Linked DNA regions of Oryctolagus cuniculus. The protein of the gene in region 2 purifies or fractionates together with the protein of the main gene of each other region. This does not show direct contact. Links are inferred from orthologs where the notes say so. Each region holds a gene or a part of one and is shown on either strand. Other genes may lie near its edges. The genes, in order: CRCP and POLR3GL.

Region 1 (12,824 bases), on a different chromosome or scaffold from region 2:
TGTATATTAAAGTTCAAAAATAAGAGTGAACACAAGACAGGTATATAAGTTATCTCAAAGGGTTAAAATGGGCAAACACCTTATATATACACACACAGTTCACAGCTTACAGCGGTTCAATCTAATGATTTTTTTTGACTTTATGATGCTGTGAAAGTAATATATATTCACAGGAAATCGTACCTCAAACCTCAAATTTGATCTTTCCCTATGCTAGATCTTTTCCTCTGTAGAGCAGCGAGGGGTAACTCTCAGTCAGGCACAAGATCACAAGAAGAAACAACCAATACTCCCCTGTGTATTTATTTATTTGAGAGGTAGAGTCACAGAGAGAGGGAGAGACAGAGCGAGAAGTCTTCCATCTGCTGGTTCACTGCTCAGATGGCTGCAAAGGCTGGAGCTGGGCCTATCCAAAGCCAGTGGCCAGGAGCTTCCTCCAGGTCTCCCACATAGATGCAGGGACCCAAGCGCTTGGGCTATCTTCCAAGGTTTTCGCAGGCCATTACCACAGAGCTGGATCCGACTGGAGCAGCTACAACTTGAACCAGCATCCATATGGGATGCCGACACTCCAGGCAGATGCTAAACCTACTACACCACAGCATAGACCTCAACGTTTTGTGTTGTTAAGCTATGCCATACAGAACATTAGGTATACTGAGTGCATTTTCCATTTATGACATTTTCAACTAAAGATGGTTTTATCAGGGTATAACTTCTGCGTAAGTCAAGAGGCATCTGTATGGAAATACTTCACTTTGCTATGATATTTTGTATCTTTTTACTTGAGAAAAATAAGTTTTTAAAAGATGGTCAAGAAATATTTTTTTTAAATTCTGTCATTAAGGCAAATAAATCACAAATATTCTTCCTTTTAAAAAACTTGGGGGGGGTTGACTCTCACTGGGATTAAACATGACAATAGGTCTGATCTGATTTCATCATCATTTAAAAAAATCATCTATTATTTTTCACTTTATGTTTCTGTGTGGGAGCAAACTGTTGAAATCCTTACTTAATGTATACTAAGCTGATCTTCTGTATATTAAGATAATCGAAAATGAATCTTGATGTGAATGGAAGGGGAGAGGGAGTGGGAAAGGGGAGGGTTGTGGGTGGGAGGGACGGTATGGGGGGGAAGCCATTGTAATCCATAAGTCGTACTTTGGAAATTTATATTCATTAAATAAAAGTTAAAAAAAAAAAAAAAAAAACTTGGGGGGGGAGAAGGCAGCACCGTGGTGTAGTGGGTAAAAGCCACCTGCTGTGTCAGTATCCCATATGGGTACCAGTTTGAGTCCTGGCTGCTCCACTTCTGATCCAGCTCTGTTATGGCCTGGGAAAGCAGTAGAAGATGGCACAAGTACTTGGGCCCCTACACCTACATGGGAGACCTGGAGAAGCTCCTGGCTTCAGATAGGCTCAGCTCTAAGCCACTGTGGCCATCTGGGGAGTTAACCAGCACATGGAAGACTTTTTCTCTTTCTCTCTGCCTCTGCCTCTCTGTAACTCTGCCTTTTAAATAAATAAATAAAATCTTAAAAAAAAAAAAAGCCAACAACAAAAAACTTCTGGGGGCAGGCATTGCAGTGTAGCAGGTTAAGCCACCGCCTGCAACGTAGACACCCCATAGGGGCACCACTTGTGTCCTGGCTGCTCCACTTCTGGTCCAGCTCCCTACTAATGTATCTGGAAAAGCAGCAGAAGATGGCCCAAGTGCCTGGGTCCCTGCAGCCACCTGGGAGATCTGGAAAAAGCTCCTGGTTCCTGACTTCAGGCTGGTCCCGCCCTGGCTGTTGCAGCCATATGGGGAGTAAACAAATGGATGGAAGCCCTCTCTCCCCCTCCTCTCTGCAACTCTAGCTTTCAAATAAATAAATAAATCTTTTAAAAAATTTTAAAACCATCTGGTGTCTGTCTTTATATACTTTTACATACCCCATAGCTGAAAAAAAAAATAGTAAAAATGTAAGGGAGTGTTTCTTTCAAGCCTCCACGCTACAGGTCCTAGGAGCGTCTGATAGAGACCCAGTATGTATTTACTGAAGAGTCAAAGGCCCAGAGAGGGGTCACAACTCATGTTGGAGACCAGGCAGCAACCAGAAGTGAGGTCTCCAAACCTTTCCACTACAGGGGCCACTCCACTTCTAAATCATACATCCACCTCAGAAAACCTCTTTTTCCCATAAACTACAAAATTGGTTTTTTTAAAGATTTGTTTATTTGAAAGGCACAGTGACAGAGAGGAGGAGAGACAGAAAGAGAGAGGAAGAGGAGATCCTCTGTTCATTGGTTTACTCAATTGTCTGCAACAGCCAGAGCTGGGCTAGGCCAAAGCCAGGAGCCAGGAACTCCATCCTGGTCTCCCCATGCGGGTGGCAAGAGCCCAGATCCTTGCATCATCATCTGCTGCCTTCCTAGGCACATTAGCAGGAAGCTGAATTGGAACTTGAGCAGCTGGCACTCCCAAGCAATGCCTCAACTTGCTGTGCCACAATGCCCACCTACTGCAAAATTCTTGATTGATTTCAGTAAGTCACTGACTCCTTGGGAGAAGCATACAGGTTGTTACAGGAGTAAAAACCCTAGATTCAAACTGTTTCATTTAGGAAATCAGAAAATCTATATGCCCAGAAATTAGGATATTAGTTAATTAATTTATAGTTATTAAACTAATAAAGTTTTGTTATATTACTTCATTCAACAAGTATTTCTTGAATGCCTACTGTGTGCCAGACATAGTGCTAAGCACTAGGTAGACATATATTGGTCCCTGCCTTCATGATACTAAACAACTAAATACTTCTATTATTAAAACTTGTGGCCAGCACCGTGGCTCAATAGGCTAATCCTCCGCCTGCGGCGCCGGCATACCAGGTTCTAGTCCTGGTAGGGGCGCCGGACTCTGTCCTGGTCGCTCCTCTTCCAGTCCAGCTCTCTGCTGTGGCCCAGGAGTGCAGTGGAGGATAGCCCAAGTGCTTGGGCCCTGCACCCACATGGGAAACCAGGAGAAGCACCTGGCTCCTGGCTTTGGATCAGCGCGGTGCGCTGGCCGCAGCAGCCATTAGAGATGAACCAATGGAAAAAGAAGACCTTTCTCTCTGTCTCTCTCTCTCACTCTCCACTCTGCCTGAAAAAAAAAAAAAACCACTTGTAATTTTTTTAAAGATTTATTTATTTGAAAGAGTTACAGAGAGAGGAGAGGCAGAGAGAGAGAGAGAGAGAGAGGTCTTCCATCCAATGGTTCACTCCCCAATTGGCCACAACAGCCAGAAGCCAGGATCTCCCACGCGGTGCAAGGGCCCAAGGACTTGGGCCATCTTCTACTGCTTTCCCAGGCCATAGCATAGAGCTGGATTGGAAGTGGAGCAGCCGGGTCTCGAACCGGCATCCATATGGAATGCCAGCACTTCAGGCAAGGGTGTTAACCTGCTGCGCCACAGCGCCGGCCTCAAAACTTGTAATTATTTAAGCAGAAAGTAAACCAAGGCGATGAGAAAGGGAAAAAAAAAGCCGGGGTGGGGGGTGGGGGGGACTGATTTTGGACTGACTAAAGAGCAAAGGCATCTTTAAAGAGACACTCCATCTGATAAGGGGGCAGGGCAGGAGAGTTATACCAAGGAGAAGGAATAGCAATTCAAAGATCCAAAGGGAGGAATGGGCTTGGAAAGTCAGAGGAACAACCTGACAAATTGTGTACTTTGAAGGGGATGACAGTGACAGAGATACAGCTGAGGCAAGGTTATACAGGGTCTTGTAGGTCCTAGTAAGAAGTGCAGATTTTCTTCAAGGACAATGGAAAGCCAATGAAGGGTTTTACACAGCAGGTGACCCGATCCAATTAATATTTAAGCTCACTCTGGTTGCTACATAGACAAAGCAGTGAGAGCCAAACAGCTATTTACTTAATCCAGACCAGAGATGACAGACTAGAGTTAACAGTGGAGCTGGTGAAAAGTAACCCTATATTTAAAATGTTTGAAATGTAGAGATGACAGGACTGGCTGATGGTTATGGGTATGGAAAAGGGGCTAGGTTTGTGCTTTAAGTAACAGGAAAAATGGGAAAAGGGGATCAGAAATGTATTTCAGGGAACAATCAAGTTATAGATGATTAAAATGACCAAGTGAGAGAAAATAGAGAGAAAGCCTCCCAGGACTAAGAAACATTTAGATGCCAAACAAGGGAGGAAGGGCAGCCAGGGAAGGACACTGGGAGGTCCTTGCTGTAGAAGACAATCCAGGAGAGCCTGACACAAGGCCAGGAGTTCTAGCATTTCTCTATCAATTGATGCTGAGGGATCAAGAAAGCTGAGGCCAGAAAATCAGTTTTGGATTCGATAAGACAGAGGCTCAAGTAATCTTCACAAGAGCCATTTCTGCAATAAGGATGAGTCCAACAGCAGGCCAAGTGAATTAGGAGATATAACAATTTTCAAGAAGTTTTGCTGTGAGGGGAAGCAGAAGTGTTGGGCAATAGGTGGGCAAGAATAGGTGAAATAGAAATAGGTGAGGACGAGGGATTGTTACAAGATGTACGCTATGGGTATTAATTTGAGTGCTCAGTGTCTCCCAAAGGCCCACCTGTTAAATATCTGGTGCCCAAAGTCTTATGTTAATGGCACTAAGAGAGTAGAAACTTAATCCAGTTATGATATTTGAAGGCAGAGCCTTTGGCAACGGATCAAATTGGGTCATTAGATTTCAACCTCCATTATTAAAGAGACCACATAAACATGCCCATTCCCTGTCTCTTGCAATATGATTTGAGGATTCTGCCAACATGAACGCCATCACCAGACACTGAACCAATGAGATCTACCCCATCTTGGACTGTGAACTAAAGAATCCTTCTCTCTTTATAAAATTAATTGCCTCAGGTATTTCATAAAAAGCTGACCAATACAATGTATAGGTTGAACTGGCCTGTATACTGATAGGAAATACTCTGGTAACGTGGGAAAATTAATGATGATGGCTTATATTAATTTATGAATGATTTCATGTTGCAGGCTAAACCCCATTAGTGGGTTGCTTGCAAACTTAATTTAGTGGGTCAACTTTTAGTAAACTAGACAACAGCAGAGTAAACTGAATAACTTAAAATATGGACCTGGGGCCAACACAGTGGCATAACAGGTAAAGCCACCGCCTGCAGTGCTGGCATCCCATATGGACACCAGTTCGAGTCCCGGCTACTCCACTTCCAATCCAGCTCTCTGCTATGGCCTGGGAAAGCAATAGGAGGCCCAAGTCTTTGGGCCCCTGCACTCGTGTGCAAGATCCAGAAGAAGCTCCTGGCTCCTGTCTTCGGATTGGCACAGCTCCGGCTGTTGCGGCCAACTGGGGAGTGGACCAGTGGATGGACAACCTCTCTTTCTCTCTGCCTCTCCTCTCTGTGTAACTCTGACATCCAAGTAAATAAATAAATCTTTTTTTAAAAAAAGTATGTACCTAGGCCAGCACCGCGGCTCAGCAGGCTAATCCTCCACTTGCGGCGCCAGCACCCCGGGTTCTAGTCCCGGTTGGGGTACCGGATTCTGTCCCAGTCGGTGCTCTTCCTGTCCAGCTCCCTGCTGTGGCCCGGGAGTGCAGCGGAGGATGGCCCAAGTCCTTGGGCCCTGCACCCGCATGGGAGACCAGGAGAAGCACCTGGTTCCTGGCTTTGGATCAGTGCGGTGCACCGGCCGCAGCACGCCGGCTGCAGCGGCCATTGGGGGGTGAACCAACGGAAAAGGAAGACCTTTCTCTCTGTCTCTCTCTCTCACTGTCCACTCTGCCTATCAAAAAAAAAAAAAAAGTATGTACCTGTCATTTCCGTTTTATATGTAAATAGTGAAGTTAAAGTAAAAAAAAAAAAAAGTCTGGGGACCAGCACTGTGTCTAGAACGTTTACCTTCCACCTGCAGTGCTGGCATCCCACATGGGTACCGGTTTCTTCACTTCTGATCCAGCTCTCTGCTATGGCCTGGGAAAGCAGTAGAAGATGGCCCAAGTCCTTGGGCCCCTGCAACCACATGGGAGACCCAGAAGAAGCTCCTGGCTCCTGGTTTCCAATTGGGCCAGCTCCAGCCATTGCAGCCATTTGGGGAGTGAACCAGCGGATGGAAGACACCTATCCCCCTTCCCCTCCCTCTCCCCGCCTCTCTGCCTTTCAAATAAATAAATAATTCTTTATTTTAAAAAAAAAAAAGGTCTGAAAACCACCAGTTCATAAATCACTAACCACGAAGCAAAAATTTAACCTAAAGGAAAATGTTTTCATCGGTGCCACAGAAAACACAATATAGACATGCCTACAAGTTTACACCAATCATGTAAAAAGCCACATGCAGAGTAGAAGCAAAAGTTTCTATCTGTACTCGGTACGATGAGGAAACATGGAAAAGATCACGTGGCGTTAAATTGCTGGAACTTTTACTCCTTGCTTATACCGTGCACACACCCGCCTCGTACTGCTTCTGATCCAGTCCAGATACAATTCCTTCTCCCAGAAGCCCCGCCCCCTCCCCTAAAGGGCCGATAGCTCCTCAGCAAACTCAGATGCCACCTCTTTGTGAGGGTTTCTCAGGAGCCCCCTACCCCCAAGCACAGCTCTGTTCCAACCCGCAGCCATCTCTCAAGGGCTTTATGCTTTCCAAGTCCCCGCTCGGAAACCAGGTCGCGCTGCCACTGGGACCCAGGAAAGGCCAGTAAATGAATGAGGGAGGGAGGAGGCCCACTGAAAGCCAGCCGACCGAGTCTCACTGGGCCGGGCGCCCCAGACACCGGGAGCGGAGGTTCAGCGCGGCAGAGCGAGAACCCCCGTCTTCCTCGGTCCTCCACTCCCAAGACCCGGCCGTCGCCGCTGAGCCGGAGTCGCCGCTGAGCCGGAGTCGCCGCGCCCTCAACCCTGTCTCTAACAGCTCTCGGCTCCCAGCGGTCTAACCGTCTCCAGCCGTGCACCCAGACCCAAAGCTTACACTTCCATGTCGTCCTCGCGCCCTCGGCCCCAGCAGCCTGCAGATAAGGAGCCAGCCGCGGCGCCGCCGCAGCTCCCCTAACCTACACAGCACTCGCGGCGGTCGCGGGCCTCCGCGGTGCACGCTGGGATCGCCGCGCTGCACGCCGGGATCGTGGTGGAGCCGGGAGGTTCTCGCGGCCGGGCGCCGCTCGCCTGGCCGAGCGGGCTGTCTAGCGTCTGCGGACGGGACTTAAGCAAAGTGTTTTCACGAGTTAAGCTTCCGAAGGCGTGGTCGTTTTTGTAGGCCTTTGCAGTGTTAAAAAAATCCCAGGGCGGGGGCCAAGAGGAGCTGTGCTCTTCTTCGGATCCAGCTCTGCTATGGCCTGGGAAAGCACTGGAAGATGGCCGAGTGCTTGGGCCCCCGCACCCGTGAGGGAGACCCAGATGAAGCTCTTGGCTCCTGGCTTCAGAGTGGCCTAGCTCTGGCCCTTGTGGCCGTTTGGGGAGTGAGCCAGCTGATGGAAGACCTCTTTCTCTGCCTTCCCCTCTCTGTAACTCTGCCTTTCAAATAAATAAATCTTAAAAAAAAAGAATAAATAACCTTAACCTGAACAGGCTGTGTCTGAGCCCTGGGGCTGGGGCTTTTCTCGGAGTTTGCCCAAAGTACATTATCTTTCTTGAGGAAAGATGCGCAGGATGGGATTTTTTTTTGCTTGGAAATAGCCAAAATGCCCAACAATGGAGAATTGATCATGCTTCAGCCATGTATGTAGGCATGCAAAGTGGATAAACACAAAATGGAATATTACTCAGCCATAAGAAAGCATGGAGTACTGACATTTGAAACAAAATGAAAGGAATTAGCATTATGCAAAGTCAAGCCACAGAAAGACAAATACATGTTTTCGCTCATATGTGGAATATATACGCATGTGTGTATAGTAAAAATGTGGATGCCATATTATTTGGTGTATATTTATAAATGTTGTCTTCACGATTTATATCCCTACACAATAATGCAGCCTTATTTCTTCATTTTATGATCTTTGTCATGAATCCCATGTTATATTAATATATCCACCCCTGATTTCAAAAAATATGAAGTATATTTACAAATGAAGTGAATATGGAAAAGTGTTAAATGAAACGAATATGGAAAAGTGTTAAAAAATAAATATATGTATGCTCAGTGAACGCTATACTCCTCTGTATTCTTTGAAATATTACAAAATAAAAACATTTTCAGGATAGGATATTTAGGAGCTGGCACTGTGAGCTCAGCCTCCACCGCAGCACCAGTATTCCCTGTGGTGCCAGTCAGTGTCCCAGCTGCTTCACTTCCAATCCAGCTCCCTGCTATGGCCTGGGGAAGCAGTAGAAGATGGCCCAAGTGCTTGGGCCCCCGCACTGATATAGGAAACCTTGAAGAAACTCCTGGCTTTGGATAGGCTCAGCTCCAGTCTTTGTGGCCATCTGGGAAGTGAACCAGCAAATGGAAGACCTCTCTCTATGTCTCTCCCTCTCTGTAACTCTACCTCTCAAATAAATCAGTAAAATCTTTGAAAAAAAAAAAAAAAGGCTACTTAAAAGATGCAAGTTGATGTGGCGTGACCTAAAAAAAATCATATAGGAAAAAATTACCTAAAGGTATTGGGAGGTATAGCCATTTATGTGTTAAAAACAACTGGGAAGGTTGATGTCTTTTGCCTTCTCTATATGTTGATATGTTTGAAGTGTTTTTTAAAGACTGGAAGGCAATATGGCAGAATATGAACAACAGCAGGATGGTAAGTCAGTTGCTACTTTTCTGTTTTTTTAAAATATACATTTTGACAGCATATCAGTTATCATTTACTAAGTTCATTCTTTTTGCAAGGCTTTTGCTAAGCACTATGTTATTCCGTGATATTAACAGTGCAAGCTTTGCAGTTAGCCAGCCTGTGATCCATTCTCCTCCATCACTTTCTTTTTTTTTTTCTTTCTTTTTTCAAAGATGTATTTCTTTGAAAGGCAGAGTTACAGAGACACAGAGAGATTGATCTTCCATCCACTAGTTCACTCCAAAATGGCCACAGTGGCCAGGCCTGGGCTGGGCCAAAGCCAGAAGCCTGGAACTCCATCCAGGTCTCCCACATGGGTGGCAGGGGCCCAGGTACTTAGGCCATCTTCCCCTGCTTACCCAAGTGAAATAGTAGGAAGCTAGTTCAGAAGTAGGGCAGCCTAGAGTCTAACTGGTGCCCATATGGGATGCTGGCATCACAAGCTGCAGCTTAACCCACTGTACACAACACCAGTTCCGAAAAATGCATTTTCTTAAAACATTTATTTATTTGAAAGGCATAGTTTTAGAGAGAGGCAAAGAGGAAAAGATCTTCCATCTGCCCAAATGGCCACAATGGCCAGGGCTGGGCCAGGCCAAAGCCAGGAAGCTGCAACTCTACCTGGCTCTCCCATGTGCCAATTTCCACTGCTTTCCCAGGCTCATTAGCAAGGAGCTGAAGTGGAGCAGCAGAGACATGAACCGGTACCCATATAGGATGCCGATGACACAGGTAGGGGCTTTACTGGTATACCACAATGCTGGCCCAGAAATACTTTTTTCAAATAATCTAACTTACTTTAAAAAAAAAAAAAAGATTTATTTATTTATTTGAAAGGCAGAATTACAAAGAGGCGGAGAGAGAAAGAGGGAGGGAGAGAGAGAGAGAGAGAGAGAGAGAGAGAGAGGTCTTCCTTCCATTGGTCCACCCCCAAAATGGCCACTACGGCTGGCATGCTGCGCCAATCTGAAGCCAGAAGCCAGGTGCTTCCTCCTGGTTTCCCATGCGGGTGCAGGGCCCGAGCACTTGGGCCATCCTCCACTGCCTTCCTGGGCCACAGCAGTGAGCTAGACTGGAAGAGGGGCAACTGGGACAGAATCCGGCGCCCCAACCGTGACTAGAATCCGGGGTGCCGGCGCCACAGGCGGAGGATTAGCCAAGTGAGCCGTGGTGCCGGCCAATCTAACTTACTTTATTTATTTATTTTTTGACAGGCAGAGTGGACAGTGAGAGAGAGAGACAGAGAGAAAGGTCTTCCTTTTGCCGTTGGTTCACCCTCCAATGGCCGCCGCAGCAGGCGCACTGCAGCTGGCGCATCACGCTGATCTGAAGCCAGGAACCAGGTGCTTTTCCTGGTCTCCCATGGGGTGTAGGGCCCAAGCACTTGGGCCATCCTCCACTGCACTCCCGGGCCACAGCAGAGAGCTGGCCTGGAAGAGGGGCAACCGGGACAGAATCCAGCGCCCCAACAGGGACTAGAACCCAGTGTGCTGGCACTGCAAGGCAGAGGTAACTTACTTTTAAACTCAATAAATAAATATCACTCCACACACAACTGACTTGATTTATGTGGAGCACCCTCATACCTCATACCTCCCTTGAGAAGAACAGATTGTGTAAAAAAAAAAAAAGTGCTAAAGATGCTCACTGTGTTATTCATTCAACAAACACGTAGCACTGGCCCAGTGGGTGCTGATGATGAAAGTGTGAACAATACACACCCTCTGCTGGCTAGCCCACAGTCTAGCTGGGAAACCAACTCTAGACATAATTAACTCCAATATGCTGTGTTTAGACGCCATGGAGCAGAAGAGGGAATGACTAATGAGGTGGAGAAGCGTCCCAAAGCCAGGATCTTCAGGCAGGATTGGGGGAGGAGCACACAAGGCCAAGGTGTGTAAGAGAAGCTGGTGTCTGTGATGGCTCAGGTGTGATTTACTTTATTTTATTTTTAAAGATTTATTTATTTGAAACACAGAGTTACACAGAGAGAGAAGAAAAGGCAGAGGCAGAGAGGGGTCTTCCATCTGCTGGTTCACTCCCCATTTGGCCTCAATGGCTAGAGCTGGGCTCATCCAAAGTCGGGAGCCAGGAGCTTCTTCCGGGTCTCCCGTGTGGGTGCAGGGGCCCAAGCACTTGGGTCATCTTCCGCTCCTTTTCCAGGCTGCAGCAGAGAGCTGGATCAGAAGTGGAGTAGCCGGGACTCAAACCAGCGCCCTTGCCAGCACTGCAGTCAGTGGCTTTACCCACTGTGCCACAGTGCCAGCCCCAAACCAATTGTTAAAAATGTGAAATATCTCCCCGACCTTGTTTCTGTGGTGAAATGATTGATGGGGATTAGAATAGTATCCGTAACAAGCTGCATTAAATATTAAGTTCTTGCAGTCCTGTTTCTAATCATCTGGAAAAGCAGCAATGAACAGAAACATCCAGTCAGCAGTCAGTCTGTAGTTCAGTGTCTCAATGAGGCATGTTTCCAGATAAAACAATACCAGGTAGACCGGGAAAGGTGAGGTTGGAGAAAGATAGGTATGAGAAAGCAGTTTCAGAAGAGAGGACTTCCGCCTGGGAAATTGGGAGAGAGGCCAAGGTGATGTTAGATAGACGCTGAAGAGGGGGTAGAATCTGGCCTGTGGAGAGAGTGGTGATCTTGAAGCTGAGTGTCAGTGGGAACAAAGGCATGGGACTGGGACAGAGCAGAGCAGACTAAAGGGTGTGGCATGGGGGCGGACATTGTGGTGTAGCAGGGTTGGGCACCTGCTTGTGATGCCACCAGCAACCCATATCAGAGAGCTGGTTTGAGTCCTGGCTACTCTGTTTCCCATCCAGCTTCCTGCTAATGTACTGGGAAGGCAGGGGAAGACGGTCCAAGTACTTGAGCCCCTGCCACCCACATGGAAGACTTGGATGAAATTCCTGGCTCCTGAGGCTCCAGCCTGGCCCAGGCCTAGCTGTTGGCGCCATTTGGGGAGTGAACCAGCAGATGGAAGGGATCTCCTACCCGCCCCCCAACGATTTCTCTCCTTCTCTCCCTGTTGCCCTGCCTTTCAAATAAATGCATATTTGTTTGAAAGTCAGAGTTACACAGAGAGAGAAGGAGAGGCAGAAAGAGAGAGAGAGGTCTTCCACCCACTGGTTCACTCCCCAGTTGGTGGCAACGGCCAGAGTTGTGCCGTTCTGAAGCCAGGAGCCAGTAGTCTCCTCCAGGTCTTCCACACAGGTGCAGGGGCCCAAGGACTTGGGCCATCTTCTACTGCTTTCCCAGGCTATAGCAGAGAGCTGGGTCAGAAGTGGAGCAGCCAGGACTCGAACCGGCACACATATGGGATGCCGGCACTGCAGGTGGCAGCTTTACTGGCTACACCACAGCACCAGCCCAAAACTCATAAATCTTTAAAACAAAAATGGTGTGGCATGATAAGGATGTACATCCAAGAAAAGAAGCAGCATTCAGTTGTGTTCAGTCTCCAAGAAGAACTGCTGCAGAAAACACAGGCAGGGGATGGCGCTGTGGCACAGCAGGTTAAAGCCATGGCCTGTAGCCCTGGCATCCCATATGGATGCCAGTTCATGTCCTGGCTGCTCCACTTCCACTCCAGCTCCCTGCTAATGGCCTACAAAAAGCAGTGGAAGATGGCCCAAGTCCTTGGACTCCTGCACCCATGTGGCAGACCCTGAAGAAGCTCCTGGCTTCGGCCTGGCCCAGCCCTGATCATTGTGGCCATTTGGGGAGTGGACCAGAAGATGGATGATCTTCCTGACTCTTCCTCTCTCTCTCTCTGTAACTCTTTCAAATAAATAAAATAAATCTTTTAGAAAACAAAAAACAGGCACAGCAAGTGATCTTGGAGAAGAAGCTGTGCAGAGAAGTAGGATGAGGTTCAGATCCATTTCTTGTGATCTAGGAGCAAGAATTGTCACCCTGGTGACAGCCATCATTCCTTTGTATTCCTGGGGGATACACAGGAATGAGTGAGAGGGTGGTTATAGGTATGAACATTGCAGCCATACAGTCTGAGTTAAATCCAGTCTCCATTACATACTAGCTGTGTGTGTTTAAGT
Region 2 (11,675 bases):
TAGAAGTCTCCCCTGGTCTGGCCAAATTAACTAACTGAGCAATTCTGTCTAGACAATTTCTCTTTTCTGTCTTCTGGCCAAATGTGACATACAAGGGCCCTTAAAAAATTTCATGGAAAAATGGAATTAAAATATGTTGTTTTTGGTGCAAAATATTTTGAAATCCATGCATATTTTTGTTGTTTTTTTTTTTTAAATATTCATTTGAAAGGCAGAGTTACAGAAAGAGAAGGAGAGACAGAGAGATCTTCCATACACTGGCTCACTCCACAAATGGCACAATGGCTGGTGTTCTGCCAGGCCAAAGCCAGGAGCCAGGAGCCTCCTCTGGGTCTCCATGTGGGTGCAGGGTGATGCTTTCTCAGGCGCATTAGCAGACAGCTGGATTGGAAGTGGAGCAACCGAGACATGAGCCAGGCCCATATGGGATGCTGGCATCGCAGGCAGCAGTTTAGCCCACTATGCCACAATGCTGGCTCCAGCATAGATTTTAAATAATATGCATTTCCTTTTTTTAAAAAAGATTTATTTATTTGAAAGAGTTATAGATAGAGGGAAAGACAGAGACAGAGGTCTTCCATCCACTGGTTTACTCCCCAGATGGCCGCAATGGCCGGAGCTGCACCAGTCTGAAACCAGGAGCCAGGAGCTTCCTCTGGGTCTCCCACACAGGTGCAGGGGCCCAAGGACTTGGGCCATCCTCCACCACTTTCCCAGACTATAGCAGAGAGCTGGATTGGAAGAGGAGCAGCCGGGACTAGAACCATCATCCATATGGAATGCTGGCGCTTCAGGCCAGGGCTTTAACCCGCTGCGCCACAGCACCAGCCCCAATAATGTGCACTTTTATGATCTTTTTAAACATACTTCATATGTATACATTTCAAAATTTTTTCAAAAAAATATTTTAAATTCCATTTTCCATGAACCTTTTAAAGTACCCTCACATGAAAGGAGATGGCAGCTCCCGCCCTCCTAACCTCTTCCTCGGCCACATACCTATTGGTGGCCTGCTTGATTTGAGTTCTAGCTGAAGAACCTTCAAAATCAAACCAAGATGGAGTGACCTAAGCCAATACCATTAAAAACAAGAAGTTACCTTTGCCCCAAATAAAATTAAAGTTTAAAAATTATAGCCCTAAACTTTTTCCCCCAAAGCTAAAATTAGGTGCAGCTATAAAAATAAGGGACCCTATGCTTAGCTAGCTGCGACACTTGTGCCTGGCTGTGCTAAGACCTAACCCAGTTTGTATGCCTCCTAATACTCAAATAACGGTGTGGGAAGTGGGACGCCGCTCTCCCACCAGGGGAACAAAGGGAGCGAGATGTCATCCCCCTCAGGGTGAACAAGATGGCGCTGGCAGGGAAAGGAACTACTAAAAAAGTAAACAACAAAATGGCGACGAGTTGCATGCCTCCCATGTGTTCTCGTAGCTGATTGGATAGAGGATGCATGCCCTTCACATGATCAGCTCACGGATTGGACTGCTGTGTGCATGGCCTCCCATGTGATCCCGTAGCTGATTGGATAGAAGATGCATTCCCTTTACATGATCAGCTCGCGGATTGGACTGCTGTGTGCATGGACTCTATAGTGCTTTTGATTGGTCGCTGCGGGTATATAAACCGTGTGGCTTTGTGCTGGGGGCACTCTCTGGACTCCCGAGTTCAGGAGGCCCATCTGCGCAGATGACAAATAAATCCTCTTGCTTTTGCATCAGCTGGTCTGGAGTCTGAGTCTCTGGGGTGTGCCTCTCGACGTATTAGCATCCTCACTCCAAGGGTCTAACATAGCTTGCAGATGGTGACCTTGAACTCTGCTTCGGGGTTTGTCTCCTTTCTTGCTAATTGACAAAATTGCTGATCTTCCTGCTACTTGGCTGAAGCAGTTCTTGGAAAGGACTGGCTAGCTGCCTGAGGTATCTTTAGCCTCCTGGGCTGAAAATAGGGTGGGGAAATCCAGTGGATGGCAGGAGGTCAGCAAAAGTGGATGTGTCCTGCCTTTGTTCTCAGGAGCATCTGGACTTTTGTGGGTAGATCTGGACTTTTGTGGGTAGACTGGTATCACCCTGCGGTGTGGGAGCTAGAAGTCCTCCTAGCGGCCATCTGTCCAAATTCACATTTCACACATGAGGAAGCTGATGCATGCAGACTCACAGGACTTTCCCAAAGGTACAAAGCGACCGAGCAGTGAGGCTGGATCATAAGGGGTGCTTTGTCCAACTGAGGTAGCAGTTTTTCCACTTGGCTTGGTTCCTAACGAGTCTACACCTACAAGCCCCGCTTCCTCTCTTTCGAAGCTCAAACTGCAATAGAAATCAAGGAAAGGAACCACGGATGCTTAGTCATCCTTTCCCCTTGACCTCTGACCTTCTATTTTTTTTTTGCTTTCCACTCCCAGTAGAAATTACATGTTGCGTCCAGGGCTCCCAGTAAGGCCGCCCTCAAACCGCTTGAGTCCTAGAGCGTATGTACAGACAGACCCCACGCTCAAGCTGTCTGCCCAGAGTGAGAGGGGACCAGGAGGCTAAGGAAGGATCACAGGGCAGGGAAGGGCGGAATTCTTGCCGTAGACCTGATCCTGCTTGGGGCCAGCGCAGCCCAGGCTGTGGGTTTGAGAGTGATCTGTTGTTCAGTGTAAACAGGCTGCAGCAGGCTGGCGGCACAAAGGTGAGCAGGTACCGTGTGGGTGCTCTGTTCAGTTTGTAAGCAGGCCCCAGGCCCTGACCTCTCTGGTAGTCCCCTGGAGAGAACGGTAGCCCTGACCTGACCTGGGCCCCAGGCTTTAGCCCTCGTCTGCCTGAAAGCACCTTCAGTAAGTTGGGGAAAGGTCCATGGAGACAGCCTAGCTCATAACTGGAACTACTCCAGGATCTGGGGAAGCTGCTGGGTCCCGTGTCTCAGGCTTTGTCCAGCAAAGTCATCTGCCAGAGAGGCAGGAGGCCAGACAGGGCCAAGTCCAAGAATGGCTGCGCTTTCCCACACCTTGTCTTTGAGGAGCACAACAGATCCCAAGTGGCCACGCCGACCTTTGTCCTCCTTTTCCAGTTGCACATGCAGGGCAGTGGGAGTGGGAATGTGGCCGCAGCCCTCCTGTGCTGTCTCTCAGCCAGAACTTTTGTTCTCAGTCTTTTAAGTTCCCAGAGTGGAATTAAATGGGATTTAGTGGGTGGCTGTGCCCCAAACACAGACCAAGGTCCAACTGACCAGGTTAGGACTGGTGTGTGTGTGTAAAAAGAAAGGCAAAAGTTAAATTGTCAGAGTCTTTGACTTAAGTGTTTTGTCGGTCTCTCCCTAACTACAACCACAGGCTGAAATATAATTATGGGAAACCCCACTTCGGTCCACTGGCCCCTCCCAACCTCCACTCACACAATACCTTAGACAGCCAGAAAAGGAAACACGTCAATCATCACAAATTGCGCAATAACTCTGGAATGTTCTGTTTCTATTCTTGTTTCCTTCTCTGCTTTCTTGGCTACTTCTATCCTAGCACCTACCAACACATCCAAATTGGGCTTTTAACGTGCTTTAAGTGGAGCCTCAGCCCCTCTTCATTCTCTGCAATGGGGACAGATCGTCAGTCTCTATCATTTGACGCTGTAGGGATTCAGTCAGGCTGTCTAAGGCACTTAGAGAATTTCTCGAAGGTTCTCCTACATTCTGACTTGCAAATGCTCAGAGAGTTACTATGATAGCATCCCAGATATCTGTGCATGTCTCCTGATTCAGTTCCTATTCTGGACACGCAGCTCGCCCGTGACTGTGGCATGGCAAGTGCCTGCAACCAATCAGCTCACCTAGGGCTTCCTCGGAAGCCAATCAGAGCCTGGGGAAGTGACCTCACCCAAGGGAAACTGTGTGGGCGCAGCTCTATGAGTGTCCCTAAGTCACTCTCCGCCTCCCCACCCATCTTACTTCCTGTAAAGCAACACCGCCTACTCCCCTCCCCCCAGAAGGGAGTGAGAAAGGCTAACTAAATTCCACAAAGGGAAGAAGCAAAAGAGAAACTGCACACACCAGCTTCTGCAGGTGCAGAGTAGGACAGGGGGCCCCCTCTGCCAGACATGCCTTTCCAAGTGGGGCCTCCAGGCTGGCAGAGGAGTGAGTGTGCCCAGGAGTCAGTGCCTCTCCCCTCCTCCCTCCCTGCACCTGGCTTTCTTGACTCTCTCCATAAAAATAGCTGGTACCATTCTTTGTAAATAAGGACAAAGTGAAGGTCAGGTGTAGGAAAGAGAGGGCCTGTGACCTTGTGAACAGGTGTGAACAGAGGCGATCCCAGCCCCACAGCCTGGGAAGCCGAGGCTCAGCAGCTGGCAGGGCTGCTGGCGGCAGGGCTGTTTTTCTCGGCAGCTCGCTCTGCAGAGCCCTGCAGATGAGTTCCCTGACAGCCCAGATTGCATGTATCCTGTCATGGCGGAGAGGAGGAAGGGACAAAGACAGCAGGCCGTGATCCTGTGTTCACATGAGACTCAGATCAGCATCCCCGTCATTCCCCTAGCCTCTCCCACCAGGCCTCATCCAGGACAGGGAAACAGATAAAAGGCCTTTATTTAAAAATATAAAACTGGCTCCCACCCCAGTGACCTCTGGCAAGAGTAGTAAAATGGGCTGGGGGCGTATGTGTGGCTGTCTCAGCTCCAACAAGCTGGGTTCCTCTGTCCATTCTTCTTACTGGTTTCAAACAGTGAGGACGTGGGTCCTCTTCCCTTTCCCCAGGAGAAGAGGTGACACAAAAGTAGGAAGAGGAGAAAGAGAGAAGAGACTGCTGTCCGGCACCGCTGTCCACTTGTGGCTCCGGGGACCAAACACAGGTGATCTGGACACTGACCAAATGAGTTCTCATGCACAAAACCAAATAGGGACAGCTACTGCCTGCATCCCACATGAAGGACGATGTGAGTCCAGGCCCTTCTTCAGTATATAGCCTCATCCATATTGTCATCACTGTCACCCCCAAAATCCTCTCCATTGTCAAAATATGACATGATGTAATCAGTTTCCTGAAATGAAAAAAAAAAAAAAAGTACAATCAGGCATCATCTTGGCATTCTTGCTGCCTGGGTCCCAGGCCCCTTCCCTCCAAACTCCCACCACTCCAAGCCTGCACAGCCCTTCCACCTGCAGCTGTTCTGAGAAGGGCCTGGGGGCACAGGAAGAGGAGGGAAGCCTCTACTCCAGAGGCAGTTAGGTGTCTCGCAGAACACCTTGGCATAAAGAGCTGAGACCCCAGAGCAGGAGGAGAGGAGGGGGTCCCCTTCACCTCCTCATGTTCTTCTTCATCATACTCCTCCTCTTCTTCCTCTTCCTTCTCTTCTTCTTCTTTATCCTCCTCTTCCTCCGAGGTCACTTCTTCTTCCTTCTTCTCCAGGGTCTCGCGTGAAGATGAACAGGAAGAGACTCAGATTCAGCTCTCAGAAGGGAAAACTGAGGCACACACAGGCCAAGGGAGAGGGACTGGGTGAGGGTCCCAGGAGGTCTCTCGGCGCACTTCCACCTCACCTCCAGTTTCTGTATTGTTTCCTCCTTATCTTCTGCGGTCTTAGGCGGCCTCTTAGGGAGTAGAATGGGGGCCCCTGGTGGAGGGATCAAAAAGTGAACCATCAGATAGCAATTTTCCTGGCCGGCTGCCTAGCCTGCCCTCCTGCAGGGAACATGGCACTCTGCTGCCCTCAAGTGGCTACCACAGCATCTGGCAACAGCGCTTGATTGGGTGGGAACTGGGGAAGCAGGGGAAAGGCCTCCTTGGGCTGGCGGAGGAAACTTCTCCCAGCTCTGTCCAGATACACTCACGCTCCTTCTGTAGCTTCCGCACTCGTATCTTCAGCTCCCGGGGTAGACGTCGCCAGTCTGGGAACAGCAGGCATGCACACATTAACGGGACCCTGCCTGGGGTCACCGGTGAACGGTGACTGACTTTCAAGGACAGGAAGGAAAGGGTTGGGTCCAAGGTGTTCAGAACAAAACTGGTCGGGACGCCTCCCCGAGGAGTGGGCGTTATTAATGGGTTTCCCGGGTAGACCCTGAGGGCGTTTTGGAGCACAGCCAAGGCTCTGGTTTACAATTCTGGATGGACAGAGGGAGGAGGGTGGCTTGAGATATCGCAAGTGTTTGAACGAAAGGCAGTGGATGAAGGACCCAGCACCTACCAGGGTTCCAATCAATGGCATTGTCAATCGGCCCCGACATCTGATATTTGTCCGAGTAACGTTCCACATCTGAGGGGTCAAGGGTCAAAGTTGTATTCCTTCAGAGCCCCTAGAACGGGGCTGTTCCTGAGGGCCCAGCCCTCTCAATACTCAGGAATCAGCAGTCCTCTCACCCCAAACCCAGAGCTCAGGGTGTCAGCCCAAGTGAAGACCGCATCACTCTTCCAGTCTGCAGTTTCACCACCCCAAATGATGACGATTTGTTTTCTCCCTTAGCTCAAGGCCATGGTTATATTGAGAAGTGTGCTGCAGTGGAGCAGACACTAGGGGACAAGAAACCAGCATTTTTGTCAGTTCTTTACCCTTTATTAATGGGGTTAACTTAAGGCCTTTCATCCAGGAAAGCACCAGTTGTCAATGCACTGAAGTACTCTATGTCCCTCCCAGCTGATAAATATCCACTGTCCCAGGTCTCACAATGGCACTCACTGGGCTCCCTGGCCTCGCTTTAACCCACCAGGCAAGGGTGAGTACTTCACTCCGAGACCCGGCACCAGCCTCCTTCTGACTGGTCAGTGTCTCTAATAACCAGATTGTTAAATTTCTTAATGTGTCTCTCCTTTGTACGGGTGAAATGGGATCTTAATATTTAATTTCCCCCTGTCCCAAGGCTTCTGTGAGACCCCAAAACAAACCACAAATACTATAAAGATACAGAAGGAATTATAGTCTTGGTTAGTGCATTTCTTGTGCGTCTCCAGCCCCCATGGAGCTGAGCAGGGGACATCACTGCTCAGTAGGCACCCCAAACGTGATGCTGGCATTGCAACTGACCTCTCTTGGGGACAGCTGGCCGGATGAAGTAGGGGAGCTGCCTCATGGCCCCTCGTAGCTCCTGTTTCAGTGCCAGGACATATTCCCCTTCCTCTCCTGAGGGCAGAGGCACTGGACGGAACTCCAAGGGCTAAGGAGGCAGGGGCAGCGGTCAGCTGAGGGAGAAAGCGGTGCAGTACAAACCTAGGAAGGCCTCTGCCCCTGTTTTAATCCAAAGCCCCTGCTACACAGAGGGCCAGAATAGGATGGGGGAGTGACACAGCACTGTGAAATCTGGCAATCTAGGGGTGTGAGAAGTAAGGGAAGATACCTCTTTGTCTGGAAAACATCACTGGGGAACTGGGAGTATAGGGTAAGGGAGGGGCATGAGGAGGATGGTGTTTTGATAGGCAGGGGTCCAGGAATCCAGGGTCATATAGGATCAGCCTGGGGCATGTGGAAATCTTTGGGAGAGAGGGGAGATACTCACCGGGAAGAGCGGAGAAGGCTGCAAGGTAGGTGGGGGCAAAGCATCCCCCTTCCCAATGCCCACGGCCTCCATGTTGAAGGTCAACTGACCCCGGCCACGACCCCGGCCCCCACCCCGGCTGGCCATGGCAGAGGGGGCCTGGATACTCCGAGATCTCGTGAGAAAAACCTGATAGAGACAAAAACAAAGAGAAAAAAAAAAGTACAGGAGAATGGACAGAGGGCCAAGAAGATAGAAGACACTCAACCTTTTCTCCCTTGGACTTGAAAATCAACATCATTCAACAGATTATGAGGGAGAAGACATACTGTCAGGCCAGGTATTTATGAAAACATCAACATGGATAAGACACAGTCCCAACTGGCCAGATAATTACAATATGGTGTCATTACAGTATAATGAAGTGGGCGATTAGACCCTTGAACAAAATTTTTCTACGTTACTAAGAAAATTACTATCTGCATTTTTATATATAAGCTTTGAATTTTTTCTCTCCCTGCCTTTCCAACCCAACCAAAATCCCAATTCAATCCAATGTAACGACTTCAGCAAAACATTTATGAAACAAGACAGCATGCAGGCACTGGGCGGGGGACACAGGGAGGGGCTACCAACCTCACTGTCAACCAGGAGAAAATAAAAACTACTCCTTTTGAGCACCACTTAGAAGCACAGATTCTTAAAATTGGAAGCATCCTTGGAGGTCTGCTAGTCCAAACCCTTCGCAGGGTAAAACTACTCTAATTGTTCATTATGCCACTTCTGGGGGCATTTTCCCATGGACAAGGTGTCCATTCTCTCCCAAGGCAGTCCACTCTACTGTGGTCAACTATGATGAACCCTAAGTTCCTTCTTCTGCTGAACTGAACTCTGTCTCCTGCTGTCGGTGCTGAGGAGTCAGGCAGAGACAGCTAGGATGGGTGATAAAATCCCCAAATGAAAATGAAACCTGAAAGAAGTGACATCCCAGCAGCAAACAGTACCCAGATCTAATACCATTTTCCTAGGAAAAGAACCAGGGCTCTTTGGAAAAGAGCTGATTCCAGGACTGGGCAGAAAACACACAAGAAGAGTCTGGAGCATTTTAAGGTGCCAAAATGTAAGGGTTCACTCAAAGCCACAACAGGGGCCAGTGCCGTGGTGCGGTGAGTAAAACCTAAACGGACATTGGTTCAAGTCCCAGCTGCTCCACATCTTATCTAGCTCTTGCTGTGGCCTGGGAAAGCAGTAGAAGATGGCTCAAGCCCTTGTGGTAAGACCCAGAGGAAGCTCCTGGCCCCTGGCTTCAGATCGGTGCAGCTCTGGCCATTGTGGCCAATTGGGGAGTGAACTAGCCAATGGAAGACCTCTCTCTCTCTCTCTCTGCCTCTCCTTTTCTCTCTGTGTAACTCTGACTTTCAAATAAATAAATCTTACACACACACACAAAAGCCATATGGGGCTATGTCAAAAGGCCTCAGGGCCAGAACTGAAACAGTTCCTAATGGCCAAATAGTGATGTAGATACTCCACCCTAAAACAGCAAGAGCATAACCCTCACTCTTTACATGTGGACTGTGTATGAGAAATTTCATCTGACGCAGTTTTGGAAAGCTGAGGGCAAGTTACAGAACGGCTTTGTAGTGGAAAGACCAGACAAACAGTACTTCAGCCAGGTGACCAAGATCAACATCAATAGCCATGAGCCATATTGATAGTGTATGCCCTTAATATGATATGTGGCGGCCGGCGCCGCGGCTCACTAGGCTAATCCTCCGCCTTGCGGTGCTGGCACACCGGGTTCTAGTCCCAGTGGGGGCACCGGATTCTGTCCTGGTTGCCCCTCTTCCAGGCCACTCTGTGCTGTGGCCCAGGAGTGCAGTGGAGGATGGCCCAAGTGCTTGGGCCCTGCACCCCATGGGAGACCAGGATAAGTACCTGGCTCCTGCCTTTGGATCAGTGCGGTGCGCCGGCCGCAGCACGCCAGCCATGGCGGCCATTGGAGGGTGAACCAACGGCAAAGGAAGACCTTTCTCTCTCTCTTTCTCTCTCACTGTCCACTCTGCCTGTCAAAAAAAATAAATATGATATGTGGCACGGCACGTGGCCTCACTCATCATCCTCCCCCAGACCCATGTCCCCTGTCTAGTCATGAGAAAAGTATCAGACAGACTCCAGTGGAAGGGCAGTGCTCATCGTATCTGACTACTACTCCCTACCTACCTAGAAACTATCACAGCCAAGAGCAGCTTAAATATCTTGTGGCATCCTGGATGGAATCCTGGTGCAAAAAAAAAAAAGAGTATTAGGTTAAAAAACAAATAAGTCTGAGTCCAGCATGGATTTGTTACTAATAATGTAACAATTTGGTTCATTATTTGTAACAAAGGTACTATAAGAATATATGATATTTTTAATTGGGAAAACAAGGCTCACACTGTGGCACAGAGGGTTAAGCTGGTTCTAGTCCTGGCTCCTCCATTTCCAATCCAGCTCCCTGCTAATGCAGGCAAAGTAGCAGAGGATGGCCCAAGTGCTTGGACCCCTGCCATTCATCTGGGAGACCCAGATGAAGCTCCAGCAGATGGAAGATTGATCTCTCTCTCTCTCTCTCTCTCTCTCACTTCCTGCCTTTCAAATAAATAAATAAATCTTAAAAAAAATTGGGCCGGCACCGTGGCTCACTAGGCTAATCCTCTGCCTTGCGGTGCCGGCACACGGGGTTCTAGTCCTGGTCAGGGTGCCGGATTCTGTCCCGGTTGCCCCTCTTCCAGGCCAGCTCTCTGCTGTGGCCAGGGAAGTGCAGTGGAGGATGACCCAAGTACTTGGGCCCTGCACCCCATGGGAGACCAGGAGAAGCACCTGGCTCCTGCCATTGGATCAGCGCGGTGCGCCAGCTGCAGTGCGTGGGCCACGGTGGCCATTGGAGGGTGTACCAACGGCAAAGGAAGACCTTTCTCTCTGTCTCTCTCTCTCACTGTCCACTCTGCCTGTCAAAAAATAAAATAAAAAAAAATTAAAAAAATAAAGTACTCACATCCCATATCAGAGTACCCAGGTTGGATTCCTGATCTAATTCCTGCTCCTGACTCTAGCTTCCTGCTAATGCAATCCTTGGAAGGTAGCATGTGATGGCTTGAGTAACTGGGTTCCTACCACCCATGCGAGAGACCTGGATTGAGTTCCACACGCCTGACTTCATCCCCTCAGGGTCATCATAGGCATTTGGGAAGTGAACCAGTGGATAGGAGCTCTTTCTCTGTCTCTCTGCCTTGCAAATAAATAAAACAACAATAACAGGGGCTGACCCCATGGCCCAGTAGGTTAATCCTCCACCTGCAGTGCTGCCATTCCATATGGGTGCCAGTTCTAGTCCTGGCTGCTCCTCTTCCAATCCAGCTCTCTGCTGGGAATGCAATAGAAGACAGCCCAAGCGCTTGGACTCCTGTACCCATGAAGGAGACCCAGAAAAAGCTCCTGGCTTACAGCTAGCAGTTAAGATGCCATTTGAGGGCTGACACTGAAGTGTAGTGGGTAGGACCACTGCCTGCTGTGCCAGCATCCCATATGAGCACTGGTTCGTTCAAGTCCTGGTTGCTCCACTTCTGATCCAGCTCTCTGCTATGGCCTGGGAAAGCAGTGGAAGATGACCCAAGCCCTTGGGCCCCTGCACCCACGTGGGAGACCTGGAAGAAGCTCTCCTGGCTCCTGGCTTCGGATTGGCACAGCTCCAGCCTTTGCAACCATCTGGAAAGTGAACCAGTGGATGGAAGACCTCTCTCCATTTTTCTACCTCTTTCTGTAACTTTGACTTTCAAATAAATAAATAAAATAAATCTTAAAAAAAAAAGCAGTATCAACCACATAAGCGTGGACATCATGGCACAGCAAGTTAAATTGCCACTTGGGACAGCTGTATCCCATATCTGAATGCAAGGTCGAGTCATGGCTCCTCAACTTCCAATCCAGCTTCCTGCTAAGGTACCTGGGAAGGAAGTGGATAGTAGTCCAAGTACTTGAGTCTCTGCCACCACATGGATAGCAGCACGGAAGATCTCTGTCTCTCTGTCACTCTGCCTTTATATAAAATATATACATTATATATAGAGATTTATGTACAAATTTATATATGCATATATTACATCATGTATATGCATATATGTGTATTTAATATATACATGTATGTGTGTATACATATACATAAATGTATGTGTTATCTATCTATCTATCTATCTATCTATCTA

What was found.
Region 1: the proteins of POLR3GL (region 2) and CRCP purify together in Homo sapiens (co-immunoprecipitation; 3 studies listed by BioGRID and IntAct, counting the BioPlex papers as one, with this or other methods). This does not show direct contact. The link is inferred for Oryctolagus cuniculus from reciprocal best matches to the Homo sapiens genes POLR3GL and CRCP.

What each region holds. Positions count from the first base shown.
Region 1 is NC_091450.1:66,188,860-66,201,683, reverse strand, and holds the start of CRCP (DNA-directed RNA polymerase III subunit RPC9), read right to left. Parts: upstream 7,210-12,824; 5' UTR 6,970-7,209; coding exon 6,962-6,969; intron 1-6,961. UniProt on the Homo sapiens protein: DNA-dependent RNA polymerase catalyzes the transcription of DNA into RNA using the four ribonucleoside triphosphates as substrates.
Region 2 is NC_091438.1:48,911,118-48,922,792, forward strand, and holds the end of POLR3GL (DNA-directed RNA polymerase III subunit RPC7-like), read right to left. Parts: intron 9,713-11,675; 5' UTR 9,655-9,712; intron 7,621-9,654; 5' UTR 7,579-7,620; coding exon 7,453-7,578; intron 7,114-7,452; coding exon 6,984-7,113; intron 6,219-6,983; coding exon 6,150-6,218; intron 5,851-6,149; coding exon 5,794-5,850; intron 5,577-5,793; coding exon 5,503-5,576; intron 5,375-5,502; coding exon 5,264-5,374; intron 5,004-5,263; coding exon 4,917-5,003; 3' UTR 4,534-4,916; downstream 1-4,533. UniProt on the Homo sapiens protein: DNA-dependent RNA polymerase catalyzes the transcription of DNA into RNA using the four ribonucleoside triphosphates as substrates. Specific peripheric component of RNA polymerase III which synthesizes small RNAs, such as 5S rRNA and tRNAs.